Rhinolophus ferrumequinum: one gene and its partner. The protein of the gene in region 2 purifies or fractionates together with the protein of the main gene of each other region. This does not show direct contact. Links are inferred from orthologs where the notes say so. Each region holds a gene or a part of one and is shown on either strand. Other genes may lie near its edges.

Region 1 (7,560 bases), on a different chromosome or scaffold from region 2:
AAAAGAAACCAGGGATCCTGGGAAAAGTAGATGATTCCAGGTTTGGAGAGTGAAAATATCAGGGGAGCCTGTGACATCTTGCTGCATGAGAAAATAAGGAAGACCAACGTCAAAAGGACAAAGGCGGCTTCTCGAAAGAGCTCCCATGAATAAATCTGTAACAAACTGGGCACCATAAAAGAATAATAACTATAATCAGTGGTAACACAGTGAATAAAAATCCATTAAGTGTATTATTTAGTAGTTGTAAATAAGAGGACACGGGAGAAATAGAAGCTGTTCTTTTTAGAATAATGCTTTTTGATAAACAGAATACTGGAACATCACTCATTTACAACGCCCCGATATTGATTCAAGCATGTTCTTGTTGAAATTCCTCAAGGTCTGAATCAAAAGCGTTAAGTCTCTCATTCATATGTAATAACGTATCCTCTTTAAAATCAAATCAAATCAAATCAAACCTACACACAGCCTAGAAAACCACACAAAGTATTAGGTATTTTTAAAATGTTCTGTATTTTCCGAAGTTTTACAATGACCGAATCTTAGATTTAGAATCAGAAGAAGAAAACTTGTTTTAAATTTAAATTAAATAATAATAGCGCCTATCATTTAACATTTAAGCACTTTGTGCCACGTACTAGTCTAAGCTCTTTGCCTTTGTTTTTAATTCTCATTATGCAGGAACTATCATTATCCCTATTTTACAGATGAGGAAACTGAGGGGCCAGTAAATCATAATTACTGAAACTGGAAACAGAAACTAGGCAATCTGATCCAAGAGCCCAGAACATTTTATTCTTTTTATATTAACACTATGTCATCTGTCATCTAAATACTTTAGGGTACAGTGTTTAAAATTAAGGATATTCAAAGCCCATCATCTTAACCACTATTACACAACTACTAAATTTAAAAACTTTAAAGACCCAATACTGTTGGGTATCCCTCTCTGCACTGATAGTGGAGTATTAATTAGGTTGGCTGCTATGTGGAAGAACTGAACACACATATTAAGATAAAAATCATTCCTTGTCCCAGCAGTTTCAATGTACAGAATATACCCTAGAGAAATATTAGCATATATACTCAAGAAAGCATATACAAGCATGTTTTTACAGCAGCAGCTTGTAATAGCAAAAACAGCTGAAAACAACATACATGTCCATCAATAGCTGAATAGCTAAATAAACTATGGCACAGCCCTACAAGGCTATTAGCTTCACAAACGGGATATGAATACACTATGGCCCATTTATTTAAAAAAAAAATTTAAACACGATACTACCTAATTTCTACAGGTACATTTAGATGCCCATAAAAGTACAATAAAAGAACTCAAAAGGTTACCTTTGAGGAGGTAGGGAATAAAGATCAAACAGAACTTTAATATTAACTATATAATGTTTTAGTTTCTTATAAGATTATTACTTGTGTAAAGAATACTTTTAAAAAGACACCAGAAACGATGCTTCCCAACCAAGATAAGTGAGAAAAGTGAACTACTGAGAATGATCCCAATTTTGTAAAAGCAGTAAACAAAAATCTCTGCTTGTGCACTTCAGTTTTTATTGGTAGAAAGAGAGATGGGGAAGAATACACACCTGGTTGCTGTGATAGGGTGTAGCAAGAAGACTTTTTCTCTTTATTCATTTTTTGCACTGATTCACTAGTTCAGGTAAGCACATTACATTTAAATTTTTTTTTAAAGGAAGCTGATTTTAAAGACATTACCAACTTAGAATAGTGCCCCTTCTAGACTGTCCGGAGCGGGGAAACCACCTCTACTCACCTTGTCACCTATCCGGCACAGGTACTCTGCCTTCGTCATCATGGCATCGCGGATTTCGCTCTCTCCAAGATTCTTTTCTGCATCTTCCAGCATCTCATCCAAACGTTTCAACTCTTCTTCATTTGCCTTCTTCATTTTATTAAGCAGGTCCATGTCCATCTGCCAGTCCAGGGATTTGCACAAGGCTTCATAATAAGGAGCCATGTCTGAGAGCCAAAAATAGGGACGTGACTTAGTAGCAAGGGACCCCTTGTACCCTAGAGTCAGTGTCCACCCCCTTCTTACACACACACACACACACACACACACACACACACACACGTAGGTCATCCACCAGCCTCCTACTCACTACCAGGAAGGAATGGGATAGAGCCTGGTAAAGGGCTTGGCAAAACCTAAGTGTTTGCTGCCGGCGGGTCTGCATCAGGGCCGATCGTGGCACTGCCAACCTCTAGTGGGGCTCGGTTTGCCTCTTGATGGCTTGTGTTCCAAGCGTCTTCAAGCAACGTAAAGGGTAAGCTTGTTCATTCACCCACTCAGACACGTATGATCAAGTACATACAGCGCAGAGCCACTGCCTGCCAGGAGCCGAGGCAGCGGCCCGGGTTTCCGACGCACGGGCAGCGCCTCGCCTGCAGGACTACCTCCAGCCCCGCTCCGCTCGCTAACGACAGGAAGTCTCTGCTCTGTGCCAAGCGCGGGGCTAACGACCTCAGGGCTCCCCCCAGGCTGCTCTCCGAGGGGAAGCGCCCACACCGCTGCAGACCCCTTTGAGAGCAAGGCCGCGCGGTCCCCGAAGGCTCCCCCAACAAGAGGAAGGTCCTGAGGGTGTGAGAGGCCAGGCCTGGCCTCGCGGACCCCATGCGGGGGGCGCCCCGGGGTCCGGAGCCCCGCCGGGGCAAACCCCCGCAGGCTCCGGGGCGCGGGGCCAGCCCCGGCCTAGGCCGCTGACTCGGCGCTCGCGCGGACTCACTGTTGTCGCGGACGGCCGCCATCAGCTCGTCGCGCACGGCCGCGTCCCCACGGTGCTCGGGCAGGCTGAGCAGGAAGCGCAGCTGCGCGATGCGCAGGTCGGGGTTCTTGGGCAGACCCTCCTCCTCCAGGTTCTCCAGGGGCATCTCGGCGGCGGCGGCGGCGGCGGCGGCGGCGGCTCAGAGCAGACAGCGACTCAGCGCGGACCCGCGGCGGCGGCGGCGGCGGAAGCGGAGGAGGCGGCGAGCGCGCCCCGCAGCCTCCCGCCCGGCTTCCGGTCCGGGCTCCCCCTCCAGCTGCAGCGTCCCCTCCCGGTCAGGTCCGGGAACGCTCAGCGGGCGGAGCGCCTGCGCCCGGGACAGGCGCCCGAGCTTCCCTCGCGCGGGGCTCCGCGAGTCTCCGAGTGTCTGAAGCCCAATTCCGGAGTTCGACTTCGGGAACTTCTTCCTTCCTCTCTTTTTAGCTGTTTTACTTTTCACTCCGTTTGTAATTGATAGGAGCTGACAATCTTTTGAAGATTTTGAGAATATAATAACAACAATAAAAACAACTATCACAGTTTATCAAGGGCTTAATTCTTTGCCTGGCCTTTTACGTGTGTCATTGTCCGGACAGAGTCCCAGAGAGCAGTTTCTAGACTCTCGGCCTTATGTGGAAAGGTGCTGGCTCCGGTAGTAAATGGCCATCAGCTGTGATCAGATGGCCATCCGCTGTGGCTGGATGGCCATCCGCTGTTACCCGTTAGCCATTAGCCACTAATATAACTGCCATGGCTTGGCTAGGGGGTTGGGTTAGTTGACAGAGAAGCGGAGGGGATTGAGTCTAGCAAGTGTGGTTAGCAAGCTGAAGGCAGATTGCGGGATCCTGTAGATCCTACTTCCTGTGTGCCCCCCCTCCCGGCCAGCGAGACTGGGGTGCAGGAAGACCCCTCCTTGGGGTACTGGAGGATGTTTGCTCTTGTGTCTCTATTGGCAGCCATCAAGAATATCGTGGTATGACTCCTCTGTCTATGGCTCTGTTGTTGTTCCTTTTTGGCATCACCATATCCTGTGTTCTTGTGCGGGGAGTGGGAGCTGAGACCCTCCCTGCACAACAATCATCTCATTTTAATCCTGTTATTACTAGGAGGTAGTACTATTAGCCCATTTTGTAGATAAGAAAACTGAGGCACAAAGAGGTTAGGGAACATGATCAAGCAAGATATGTAACAGTTACGTAGCAATGCTCGAAAAGAAAAATCGGTAGCTCTAAAACCAGTGTTCTTTCGCTATTCTAAGAAAACAGCACCCAGAATTCTAGTCTTAATACAACATCATCATGTTATTTAAACATAATTTAAATTATTGCATGCCTGCATTTTCAGCCTCTTATTATTCATGTTACTACAGAGGCTTCAGAATTGGTAATGGTTATATGAAATTCCATCTAATGTATTACCATAATTTACTTTTACTCTTCCCTCCATTAGAGATGCCTTTACATTATCCAGGGTTGTTATTTTCCTGACATAAAAACTGAGATGAACACCACTAGATTCATAGGTCATTTCATAATTTGCATTTGTTTTCCTTAGCATGAATTCCCACAAAGGATTAACAGACAAGACAAAAGGAAAAAACGTTTTGTGATTTTTGCATAGCTAATGTCAAATGGTTTTCCAAAAGAGTTGAACCAGTTTACACAGTCACTGCCAAATTCTCACCAGCAGTAGACATCACCACACATTTTTAATATCTTACCTGTTTTGGTAAAAATAAAGTAAGCATTCTGAAGGCAACTCAAATGGTACAGAAAATATACAGGACACAGAAAAAATTACTAGCACTCCACCATGGTAAATTATTGGTGAAGAACTTTCTAAATATCTTTCATTCGTTCATTCGACAAACATTATTGCCTGGTTGCAAAGTACCAGGCGCTGTTCTAGGCACGAAGGATACATTAGTGAAGAACACAAAGCCCTTGTCCTGGTGGAACTTACATTCTAGAGACACTTAACTTCACTGAAACCCAGTTAGATATATTAATAGGGTCATATTGTACTTGTACCTTACAAACTTTTCTGTTCACTGTATCACTCATTTACTGTAGATATCTTTTCATGCCAATAGAAGTGGATTGATATCATCACTTCTAATGACCAACCAGATAGAATTCCATTATTTTTATGTACCAACTTTTTTGCCATCAATCTTTAATTGATATTGATTTCACCCTTATAAATACCACAATGCTGATCATTTGTGTGCATACATTTTCATACTTCATAATTCTTAATCCAAATCCCTAGAAGTGTAACTGCTAAATAAGAGGGTCTGAATGTTTTATTTTTTGACATACAAGGTCAGACAATTAAGTTTGCGAATTCATCCTAGTAAAACTGCTCCATACCTCAGTGCTGAATATCACTATGGTCACCTTCAAAGTACTCCCCTTGGGAAGCTATGCACCCAGGCCAGCACCTAGTCCAGCCTTCAAAGCAATTTTGGAACTCTTTTTCTGGAATGGCCATCAGAGCTGTTGTCATATTACCCTTGATGTCCTGAATGTCATCCAAATGTCTTCCTTTCAATATTTCCTTTATATTCGGGCAAAGAAAAAAGTCATTGGGGGCCAGATCAGGTGAGTAGGGAGGATGTTCCAATACAGTTATTTGTTTACTGGCTAAAAATTCCCCCACAATCCCTTGTGAGATGGTACATTGTGGTGACGCAAGAGCCATGGAATTGTTGGCCAAAAGTTCAGATCATCTAACTTTTTCATGCAGCCTTTTCAGCACTTCCAAATAGTAAACTTGGTTAACTGTTTGTCCAGTTGATACAAATTCATAATGAATAATCCCTCTGATATAATAAAAAGGGTAGCAGCATCGTTGCAACAAGTCCGCAAACTTAATTGTCAGACCTCATATAAGGATTATGTAAATTATTATTTCAAAAATGATATAACAATTTACATTCTGACCAATATTAAACAGAGAGCCCATCTCCCTCTTTGCCAATATACTTTTAGCAACCATTTTAAGCTTTAGCAACAATAACAATGTTGCTTTTCCTTTACATTTCTTTTCTTATTATGAGGTTGGGTTTCTTTTCACATTTGAACTAGCTATGTATAGTTCCTCTTCTATGAAATATCTGTTTTGCTTTCTCAATTCTTCCATGGAATTTTCCTTACTGATTTGTAAGCACTCTTCATATCTTGAGGATACTAAATTCTTTTCAAGTGTTGCAAATTTTCCTAGTTGTTTTTCTATATTTTAATGAAACTTTTTCAACATAAAAGTTTACAATGTTTATATGGTTAAATACATCAGTCTTTTCCTTTATGGTCTCTGTTCTTATTGCCAAGTCTTAGTAAGACCTTTCCAACACCATGGTTTGAAAAGTATTCACTCATGTTTTCCTCTGGTATATTTACGCTGTCATGTGCATTGAGTGCACCCAGTACCTAGAAGACAGCTTGGCACCTAGTAGGCACCCACAAATATTTCTTGAATAAATGGGGGAGGGGAGGCTCCAGAAGAAAGTGTCCAAGAAGAAGAAACATATCAAATACAAGATGAGTTAGAAAATACTGAGAATAAATTGATACTCTTGCCGGTGAGTTCAGGGGTGAGATAGTTATAGAAACTTAATTCTAAAATACTTCAAGACTCAATTGTGAATAACATTTAAGTAGTTATAACAGTTCAAATGCTAGGCATGGATGGAGGCAGAGTTACAATAAATAGACTGGAGGATGGAGAGCGGGCAGGGGACGAATGAGAGTGGAATGGGAAGTCAGCCAGGAATCGTGGGGACAAGCAGTCTGGAACCAGATCCAGATTGCTGTGCTCTATCTCCACAGCTCCCCTCGGTTCTTGTCCCCCCCCCCTTTTTTTTTTCAGCCGGGACTGAACTTATTCTCAGAGGATCTGAGAAAATGTGTATCTGTGTGAACTTTATTTTCCATAATACAGAGTTAAAAGCTAATATCTAAAACTGGAAAAGAGGATAAAGCAGCACACGGCAATTGTTTAGAAATATAGGGGCCAAAACTACAAGACACACGTTAGAAGTGTTGGTCTCTGGACAGCAGGATTCTACAGTTGCTTTGTTTTGTTTGAAGTCTCTGCTTAGAATTTATAATTCTGAAGGTTTTTAATTTACAAAATTTGTTGCCTCCTAAAATAATAGTACTTCTTCATGGACACATATGGGTGTGTTTCCTTAACTGTATTAGTCACTGTTGACATCGCTAGAAACCTGCGTCACTGGTGGAGGTTTTTCACTTGAGGAATTACATTAACCCCACAGACATGAGGGTGAATTCTGAGGCAATGAGTACCCTTGAATGAACATCATGAACTGATCACAGTGAATGCTGAAGCAATTTTTACTTTTATACTTGGGATGCTTTTACTGCCCAGTATTCAAAGAGCCTCATATTCTTTCTCTCAGCTCAGTTTTCAAATTTTTATGTCAATATAAATTTCTCGGGTAATTATGTGAAAATATTCATTTCTGTAATTAGATTTATTATTTCAGGTTGAACCCCAGCTTTAAAAAAAAATCCAACATAAATATTGCCCAAGGGCGGCAGGTTGGCTCAGTTGTTTAGAGCACGGTGCTTGTAACACCAAGGTCACCGGTTCAGTTCCCACATGGGCCAGTGAGCTGCACCCTCCACAACTAGATTGAAAATAATGACGTGACTTGGAGCTGATGGGTCCTGGAAAAACACACTGTTCCCCAATATTCCCCAATAAAAATTTTTTTTAAAGTATTACCCAATGTTAGAAAACTGAGAACTAA
Region 2 (7,812 bases):
GCAGGACTGGACCAACCAGCAGCTTAACACTCGAATCACCCAGTGGGTTGGTCCCTCCAATGGAAATGTCTGAGCCAGGGCCGGGGTACATGTGTCAAGATCCAATAAAGAGACTTGAGCTGATGGGTATTGTTACGACTATATTTATTGTGCCTGGGAGGCAAGGGGAGGGAGAAACCTCAACAGGTGGAAGGTGGGGCAAAGTCTGAAGTCCCCTGTCAAAGATAGGACGGTCTCTGCTGGATCCACCACAGTATGAGAGGAGGCGCTCAATAGATCATTCCCTTTGTTTCTCCCCTGGGCTTCTTGAGCTTCTCGAAGTTCTTCAGGATGATGTCATATAACACAGCCTACATGGCCAGGGAGGAGTGGGGATCAGTTGTAGGCCCCAGCTCTATGCCCCATTTCTAACCTTGTGGTGAGACTGAACTTGGTCATCCATCACTCCCAGCCTGCAGGGTCAGGGAGTGGGTGGCCTGAGAAAGCTGCCTCTACCCACCCTTGCCCCACCCTTTTCTCCTCACATAAGCATTGCGGATCTCCATGACCATCAGCCGGATGTCCCGGTACTCTGCTTCATCCAGCTCGTGCACCAGCTGCCGATAATCACCCTGCAGGAGACCTGGGTCAGGCCTCACTTCAAATATATCCTTCCCCCCATATACCCTGACCTCGGCCTCACCTACCACATGGGGCTGCTTGGCGGCTTTGGTCACGGCATCACCCCGCTCAGAGAAATACCTGTGGGAAGTAGAAAGGTGTGGAACAGGAGAAGGAGGAGAGAGCCCAGGCCTCTGTCCAAGCCAAAGGCTGAGTGTGCATGCAGGTACAGTTGGGCAGACACTCACTTGGAGATTTGAGTGTGGAAGCCTTCCAGCTTGGTGTGAAGGGCGGTCATCAGCTCAAACACCTTCTCCTGAGGAAAGAATGCAAGAGGTAAAGTGGAAAACAGCATGGACTAGAGACATAAGGAGGGTGGAGGAGTGGGCAGCGCTCTCACCTGAACAGCTACTCCAAAATTGTTTCCATCCTCAATTCGAGGTATCTGCAGCTGCAACCAGGTGGTGACCTGGGAGGAGGGAAAGGCATCAAAGCCACATCAGCCCTCAACCCAATTCCCAGGTTCCTGTCCTTCCTTGTTTCCCTGCCCACAGTGGGTGTAGGTATGCCAGGTCCATCTTGAGTCCCAGGGCCTGGACTTCTGGCTTCATTTGCTGTGCCCTCTCCTGCTAAGACCTGGCAAGTGCCATGCCCTAACTGGCAGGGACCAAGGAAGACAAAGGGTTTGACCTAAAGCCTGGCGGTGGCAGTGGTAGGGCTCACCAGGTTAAGCTGCTCAATGACATCCTTGATCTCAGGCTTTAGGCGCTGCAGGAGGCTCACAATCTTTTCGTTGCAGTTCACTGGGCCACAGGGAGGACCTAGAGAGCGGACAATGGGTCAGGCACATGGCTGGGACTGCGGGAGGGGTGGGGAAGAAGAATCCTTCAGGAGGAGCTCCTGGGAGGTGAGGCTCATCCTTTGCCACCATAGTAGTACCTTTGTCTTCATCTTCCCCTTTCTTCTTTTCATCCTTGTCTTCCTTCTGCAGGGAAAGAGGGGCTCTCGGGAGTCAGGCCCAAGGCTGATATTCCCCATGGTTGGCTCCCTCCTCCCAGCTCTTCCCAGCTTGCCTCCTGCTGTTTCTTCCGCTCCTCCTTTTCTTTCTCCTTGACTGGATCAGGCACTGGGATGTCCAAAGGGGCTTTCAGATTGCTCAGATTGGCTTCGTTGAGAGCTGGCTCCTGGTGCAGGGTAGGAGGAGGGCTGGAGGCAAGGGCATCTCTCTCACCTCCTCACTCACATGGCCCCTCAGACTCTCCCCTTGGCTCCTACTCTCTAGCTCCCTGCCCAGCCCCAGTACCTTTAAAAATGCATCCAACTCAGAAATCTTCTTGGGGAAGTAGCTCCCGAGCAGGCTCTCTGTCTGGGAGTGAGGTGAGGCAGGGGAGGATGGAGGTCAGAATCCAACGCCCTTCTCGGGTAGTGAAGCAGGGCTGAAGCTGCCCACCAATGAAAGGCTAAGCAGTGGGAGATGGGTAGGAACGGGGTACTGAGGGGGCGGTTCTTACCTTGGTACACAGGTCTTCACGGAACACATCCACCTGTGGGGTACAGGCAGCCCTTCAGACACCTGGCTTTATGGCCAGTTCATATGAGGACCGGTCCCTTAGGATTGTGTAGGGCCTGGCCTGGGCAAAGGTGGAGTGGATCCCCTTGGGGCGGGATTTGGGGGATGAGAACATTCCTGGCGGTGAAGTGGTTCAAGTGACAACAGATCCCTCGGGTCTCCTGGGCTGTTATAAGGAGAGGTGTAAGAGCCTTCTGTGACTCGGGCTGGGACGGAGTGGGCCCCGGGGTCCTCCCCGTGAGAAAAGCAACGAGGTGACAAGGCAGGTTCCGCACCCAGACTGTGTGTGGGCCCGGCCCCGGGCCAGCGGACTTCCCCTCCACGCTGGTTCTCCGCTTCACCTCACCCCGCTTCACTCAGCCGCCTCTCCAATCCCGGCAGGCGGACCCCGCCGGTCTCCCTGAGGCTCAGGTGCTCCGGGCACAGAGGCTCACTTGGACTCGATACTGACCCCGACTCACGTCTGGGGGCTAGGGGGCGGCAGCCTGACGCCCTCAGCCTTTCGGCGCCACGCCTCCCTAATGGGCCCTTCCTCGAACCCGCAGCGCTCACCTTGGCTTGGGCTTCAGGCTGGACCCTGAGCGTGGCCATGGCCGGGGCGGGGAGCCTAACGCCGCACGAGGAGCGAGGAGTGGGCACTGTGAAGGGAAAGCGAAAGCAGCGCGCGGAATGCGCGCGGCCTTCCTGGGTAGAGGGGAGTGGAGGCACTGGGGGAGGCGGGGACAGTCCGGAGAGAAGAGAGGGCTGGGGGGGCGGAGGAAGGCCGCTCAGGCGGGGCTCCCTCTACTGCTAGAGAGCAGCGTTTCCACCGACCTCCTCCGCCCGCTCCGCCCATCCCACCTTTCCATCCCACCTCGCCCGCCTCTCGACGCCCCGCCTCCGCCTCCCTCTCCCCCTCCCCGCCCTGCTCCCGACGCCCCGCCTCCCCCTTCCCACCTCCTCGCCGAAGTCGGTCTCTCGACTCCCCGCCTACTGCCTCCGCCCACCCCGCCTCTTCCCTCCCGCCCTGCTCTCGACACGCCGCCACCTCCTCCATCCTCTTTGCTCTCTTTCCGCTCCAGGCGTTACTGCTTCCACTTCTCGCTTCCTCTCTTCACAAGGCCCGACATCTCCTGCCACCCAGCCCAGTGCCCGCCTTTGGACTCCCCGCCTCCCATCTCTCTCTGCCTTGTGACTGCTGGCTCTCTTCTTCACCTGCTCGGCCTGGGACAGTGATAAGCCTTATCTGACCCTCTTCCATCTTTCCTCAGCGGTGGATCAAGACCTGGTCTCCCTTCGCTAGCACTGCCAGCCTGGGCTCCTGGCTCCACGGGCATCCTCTGGCCGTGCAGTGACATTCAGACGCCGGCACCACTCCAACCCAGTCAGCTCTCTCCTAACCCTTGTGTGGACTCCATTGCTCTGTAGCCCGCTTTCCACACAGCAGCAGGATCCCTCTCCTTGTTTATAACTCTTTCTCAGTTTCCCGTTGACCTTGGGATGAAATCCTCAGGGCTTTCCTGGCCCCTAAGGCCTGCCTGGACTACCTGACACCTGTTGCCATTCAACTTCACTCTCTACTGCGTTTGCCCCGTTTACTTTACACTTGTAAATACCTGGCTTTTCATTTGTTGTCGGTATCACTTTCATTCCTGCCCGTTTTAGGGCTTTTGCCCTGGCTAATACTTTTGCCTGGCACACCCTGCCCCTGCCTCACGTTGTCTGTCATTCCTTTTTCCGTGCAAATATCACTTCGTCAGAGAGAACTGTCCATCATTCTTTATAAAGTACCTCCCTGTATTACAAAGCAGCCTGGTTTAGTAACTTCATAGCACTTGGCTCTGATATTAGTTTAATTTTTGAGGATAGTGTGGTTTACACCAGGGTTGGCAAACTTTTTCTGTAAAAGGCCAGATAGTAAATATTTTAGGCTTTGTGGGCTATATATAGTGTCCGTAGCAACTACACTACTCAAGTCTGCCATTGTAGCAGGTAAACAGTTATAACTAAATAAATTAGCATGGCTAGGTTCCAATAAAACTTTATGGGCATAAATTTGAATTTCATGTAATTTTCAGATATCATGAAATGTTCTTTAATTTTTTTTTCAACCATTAAAAAAATGTAAGAACCATTCTTAGCAATCAGGCCATACAAAAAATGACCACAGGAGGGCTGTCTGTGCTTAGAGCACAGACAACAGACCCATAGTGCCCCGGGGTTTTAATCCTGACTGATAATTTACTAGCTGTGAACAAGTTACCTAACCTCTGTGCCTTTTTGCAACCGTACAGTGGGAACACTACCAAACCTACTTCATAGCGTTGTTGTGAGTGTTAAATGTGTTAAATTTATATAAAGAACTTTAAGACAATTAGAATGTTGCCTGGCACGGAGTAAGCACAATGCAGTTTTGCTATTATTATTTGTGAATTTATCATCTGCCTCCCCCAGTAAACCATAAGCCCCCAAGCAGCAAAAACCCTGTCTCCCTTATTCACAAGGTCTGAAGCTATGTTTGGCTCAATAAACATCTGTTAAATAAATGAGTACACATAGAGCCCTATGGGGAAGAAAGGGTGGGAAGGGTCCCTGAGTAGGGTGCCTAGATAGGCAGCTCCTAGAGGAAGGCGGAAGGGGATTCAGTGGAGCAGGGGGGCGGGGGAGTAAATCAACCAGGCTGTAGACAGAGTGCTGCACAGCAGGAATGCTGCCCATACCTAAGTGCGTTGTTACCTGGCCCTAGCAGTGCCACTCCTTGACATCAGAGCCTCAGATAGCTCGAAGTCTGCAAGGACTAGAAGACTGAAAGGACAGCAGGAGACATGGCCATCAAGCATAAGGAAGGACATTCAAGGAATGGTTGAGGAACCCCAGCGACCATCAGCCTTTTCACCCTTTCCACCCTTTCCAGGTCCCCCACCAAATGATGAGAGGGGCCAGAGCCAGGCCTAATGTGCCTTTATTTCTTTCAGTTGTGCTTGCGGCTGGAGTGGGGGCGAGGGAAGAGCCCATGGCCGGGGCTCCCTGGAGACCAGGGCTGATGATACCAGCTGCCGTAGGTGAGGTACCAGGCAAAGGTGCCCACTGCAGCGCCCACCACTTTGTGAGTATACTGGTGGAAGTAGATGACGGTACAGAGCAGCAAGAAGTTCCAGAGGCCCAGCAGCAGCACGTTGAGCAGGAAGACGAGGCGCAGGGGTGCACCAGCAGGTAGCCCATGGGCCAGGTACTTGGCGAATACTGCTGCTTCCTCAGCCATGAGCAGGCAGCAGAAGGTGAGCAGGAAGGTATGGGAGGAGACCGTGTAGCCCCGCCACTGGTGGCCGGCCGCCAGGCAGCTGCGTCGGTCGGGCAGCTCGTGAAGCAGCAGGCCCTGGGGCAGAGGCTCCAAGCAGGAGCCGGTCAGGTCCTCGATGAGCAGAAAGGCCCGGCCGGCCCCCCGCCACACAGCTGCCCCCACCACTAGCCGGCTAAGGTGCCGGGCAGTCACTGCCACGCGCCGTGTAGCGAGGAACACCACCAGCAACACGAAGCCCCCCAGGAAGGTGCATGTCCAGCCCCATGCCGAGTTCACAAACTTTCTGTGGGCAGAGAAGGGAGGCTAGTGAGACCTCGTAGCCCTATCTTTCCACCCTGGTCTGTGTTCCCATCACTGCTCTGTTGCCAGTTCTATATTTCATCACTGGCTTTCTGGGTCCTGTGCCTTCTACCACACCACCCCCGTGCACTTAAACTTTGCCATCTCCTGAAAGACTCACTCAGCCTTCTATGGTCCATATTTCCTCGTCAGCCCTGCTCCTGACTTCCCCTGTACCCCCACAACGCTGTCCCCTCCCCCTCCTCTGACCTTCTCCTCAACCTTCTAGCCTATTTTTAGTGCCTGGACTGGCAGGAGGACAGAAGCCTGGAGGGAGCTAGGATCCCAGAATGGAGGGAGCCGGCGCCCACGGCCTCGCGTGGACTCACATGTTGAAGAAGTTGCCGTGGCTGGCGAAGATAGTCCGAGGGTTGACATGGAACTGCAGAAGGGGCCCAAAGATGACCACTGCTGCCAACCACGCATGGTAGAGGCGCCGTAAGCAGGGGCTGCCCAGGAGGCGAGCAGCCTGTTCACTCCCAAAGTACAGCAAGGCAGAGGCCACCCAGAGCAGCACCTTGACCAGGCAGCCCAGCAGTGCCCGGATTCGGGCCCCGGCCCCCAGCCCTGCCCCCACCACCGGCCCCCGCTCCATGTTCCCTCCCCTCCCCACTAACTGCTTGCTCTGCTGGGCAGCTGAGGAGGGGCTGATGGGGCCCCCCCTGCACAAGGACAGGCAGTGACAGGTGTGGCAGACACAGAGCAGAGCCCTGTTGGCAGCTGGTAGGCGGGGGAGAGGGGCGGGGGGCAGTAAGGGGCCAGGGTGGAGGGGTGCCACGTCAGCAGGGTCCCAGCCTTGGGTGTGTGTCCTTATTGCGGTCCGTGTCCTTTCCTGTTAGCCCTGTGTCCCCTTGGCTCTCTAGGTCTGTGTCCCAAGCTGTAACCATGGTCTAGTTCATGTTTCAGGGCCAGACCTGCTGTTCCGGGTTGTCTTTGTCCATAGCCTGCTTGGGTCTGCCTGTCTGGTCAGCCAGTTAACCATACCCCACCCCAATTTTACTGTGTGTTTGCTCCACAGGGAGATCAGGGGTCAGGAACATAAAACTAACCAAACCTTGGAGGTCATTTAAAAAAATCTGTGTCTGCCTCATCATCATCGTGGCCCAGCTTCTCTCCTCAGGTCTGAGCACAGGAGCTCACCACTGAGCCTGCAGCAAGATGGCCGTGCACTGCATTGTTTCCAACTCAGGCCTGGGAAGCACGTCAGCAGGGTTACCCACTTTTCTGCACTGGGACCTCAGGGGCTTGGCGCAGCCCCAGCTTGTCTGGTCTGAGCTCTGAGGGGTTAGCTTGGGTCTAGGGCTGCTGTGTAAACCATGGTTGTGCAATGCACAAGACATCAGATCTAAAGGGGGCCCTTCTTTGGTATGTTTATTATGATGGCCAACAGATGAAATTCAAGTGTCCTGAAAAGGGCATATTATATGAGATGGTGATGGTTTAGGTTGGACTCTCAGAGTCCCCAAAAGTAGGTTTACTCCTAGGTGATGGCGAAAGCAGGGTGGAGATCTAGACGAAAAATCCTCAGCCATCAAAACATAGGCTGTGTCTTCTAACCAATTACCCTAGGCTCAGCCATACCTAAGACTTAGCTTCTCGGCCTGACTACAGGGGCTGGAGCCACAGTATGGAGTGCAACCTACCCAAGAGATGTCCCTATTATTCAGTAACTGTTTTGCAGTCCCTTTTTGTCTTCCTCATTCCTCAAAATTGGTGGTGGGATTTCAGAGCACAGTGGAGGCCTGCGAAGTAGTGAAAGGAATGAACTTAAGGATACCTGAGTTCTGGGCCCAACTATGTGACTTTGGGAAAATCAACTCACTCTCCTTGGTCCTCAGTGCCCTCCTCTGCAAACTGATCAAGATGGATTAATCAATCAGGTTCCTTCCAGATCCTGAAGCCCATCCTTCAGCCTAATTTCTGCTCATGGACCCTATACACGAATACCTATAGAACCCTCATACATTTTTAAGTCAACAAAAAATTTTTCATAGTAATTTTAAAAGTTGCAAAGGACATAGTT

Evidence for each region. Proteins that work in one complex are often made in the same cells at the same time.
Region 1: the proteins of PSME1 (region 2) and PSMD6 purify together in Homo sapiens (affinity purification with western blotting; 3 studies listed by BioGRID and IntAct, with this or other methods). This does not show direct contact. The link is inferred for Rhinolophus ferrumequinum from reciprocal best matches to the Homo sapiens genes PSME1 and PSMD6.

What each region holds. Positions count from the first base shown.
Region 1 is NC_046300.1:58,045,402-58,052,961, forward strand, and holds the start of PSMD6 (26S proteasome non-ATPase regulatory subunit 6), read right to left. Parts: upstream 3,005-7,560; 5' UTR 2,911-3,004; coding exon 2,766-2,910; intron 1,999-2,765; coding exon 1,793-1,998; intron 1-1,792.
Region 2 is NC_046289.1:74,300,035-74,307,846, reverse strand, and holds PSME1 (proteasome activator complex subunit 1), read right to left. Parts: upstream 3,004-7,812; 5' UTR 2,762-3,003; coding exon 2,723-2,761; intron 2,145-2,722; coding exon 2,112-2,144; intron 1,967-2,111; coding exon 1,904-1,966; intron 1,785-1,903; coding exon 1,674-1,784; intron 1,586-1,673; coding exon 1,540-1,585; intron 1,422-1,539; coding exon 1,324-1,421; intron 1,070-1,323; coding exon 1,001-1,069; intron 917-1,000; coding exon 849-916; intron 742-848; coding exon 687-741; intron 612-686; coding exon 525-611; intron 351-524; coding exon 270-350; 3' UTR 124-269; downstream 1-123. Other genes in the region: EMC9 (ER membrane protein complex subunit 9), read left to right, coding at 1-73; FITM1 (fat storage-inducing transmembrane protein 1), read right to left, coding at 5,121-5,733, 6,119-6,384. UniProt on the Homo sapiens protein: Implicated in immunoproteasome assembly and required for efficient antigen processing. The PA28 activator complex enhances the generation of class I binding peptides by altering the cleavage pattern of the proteasome.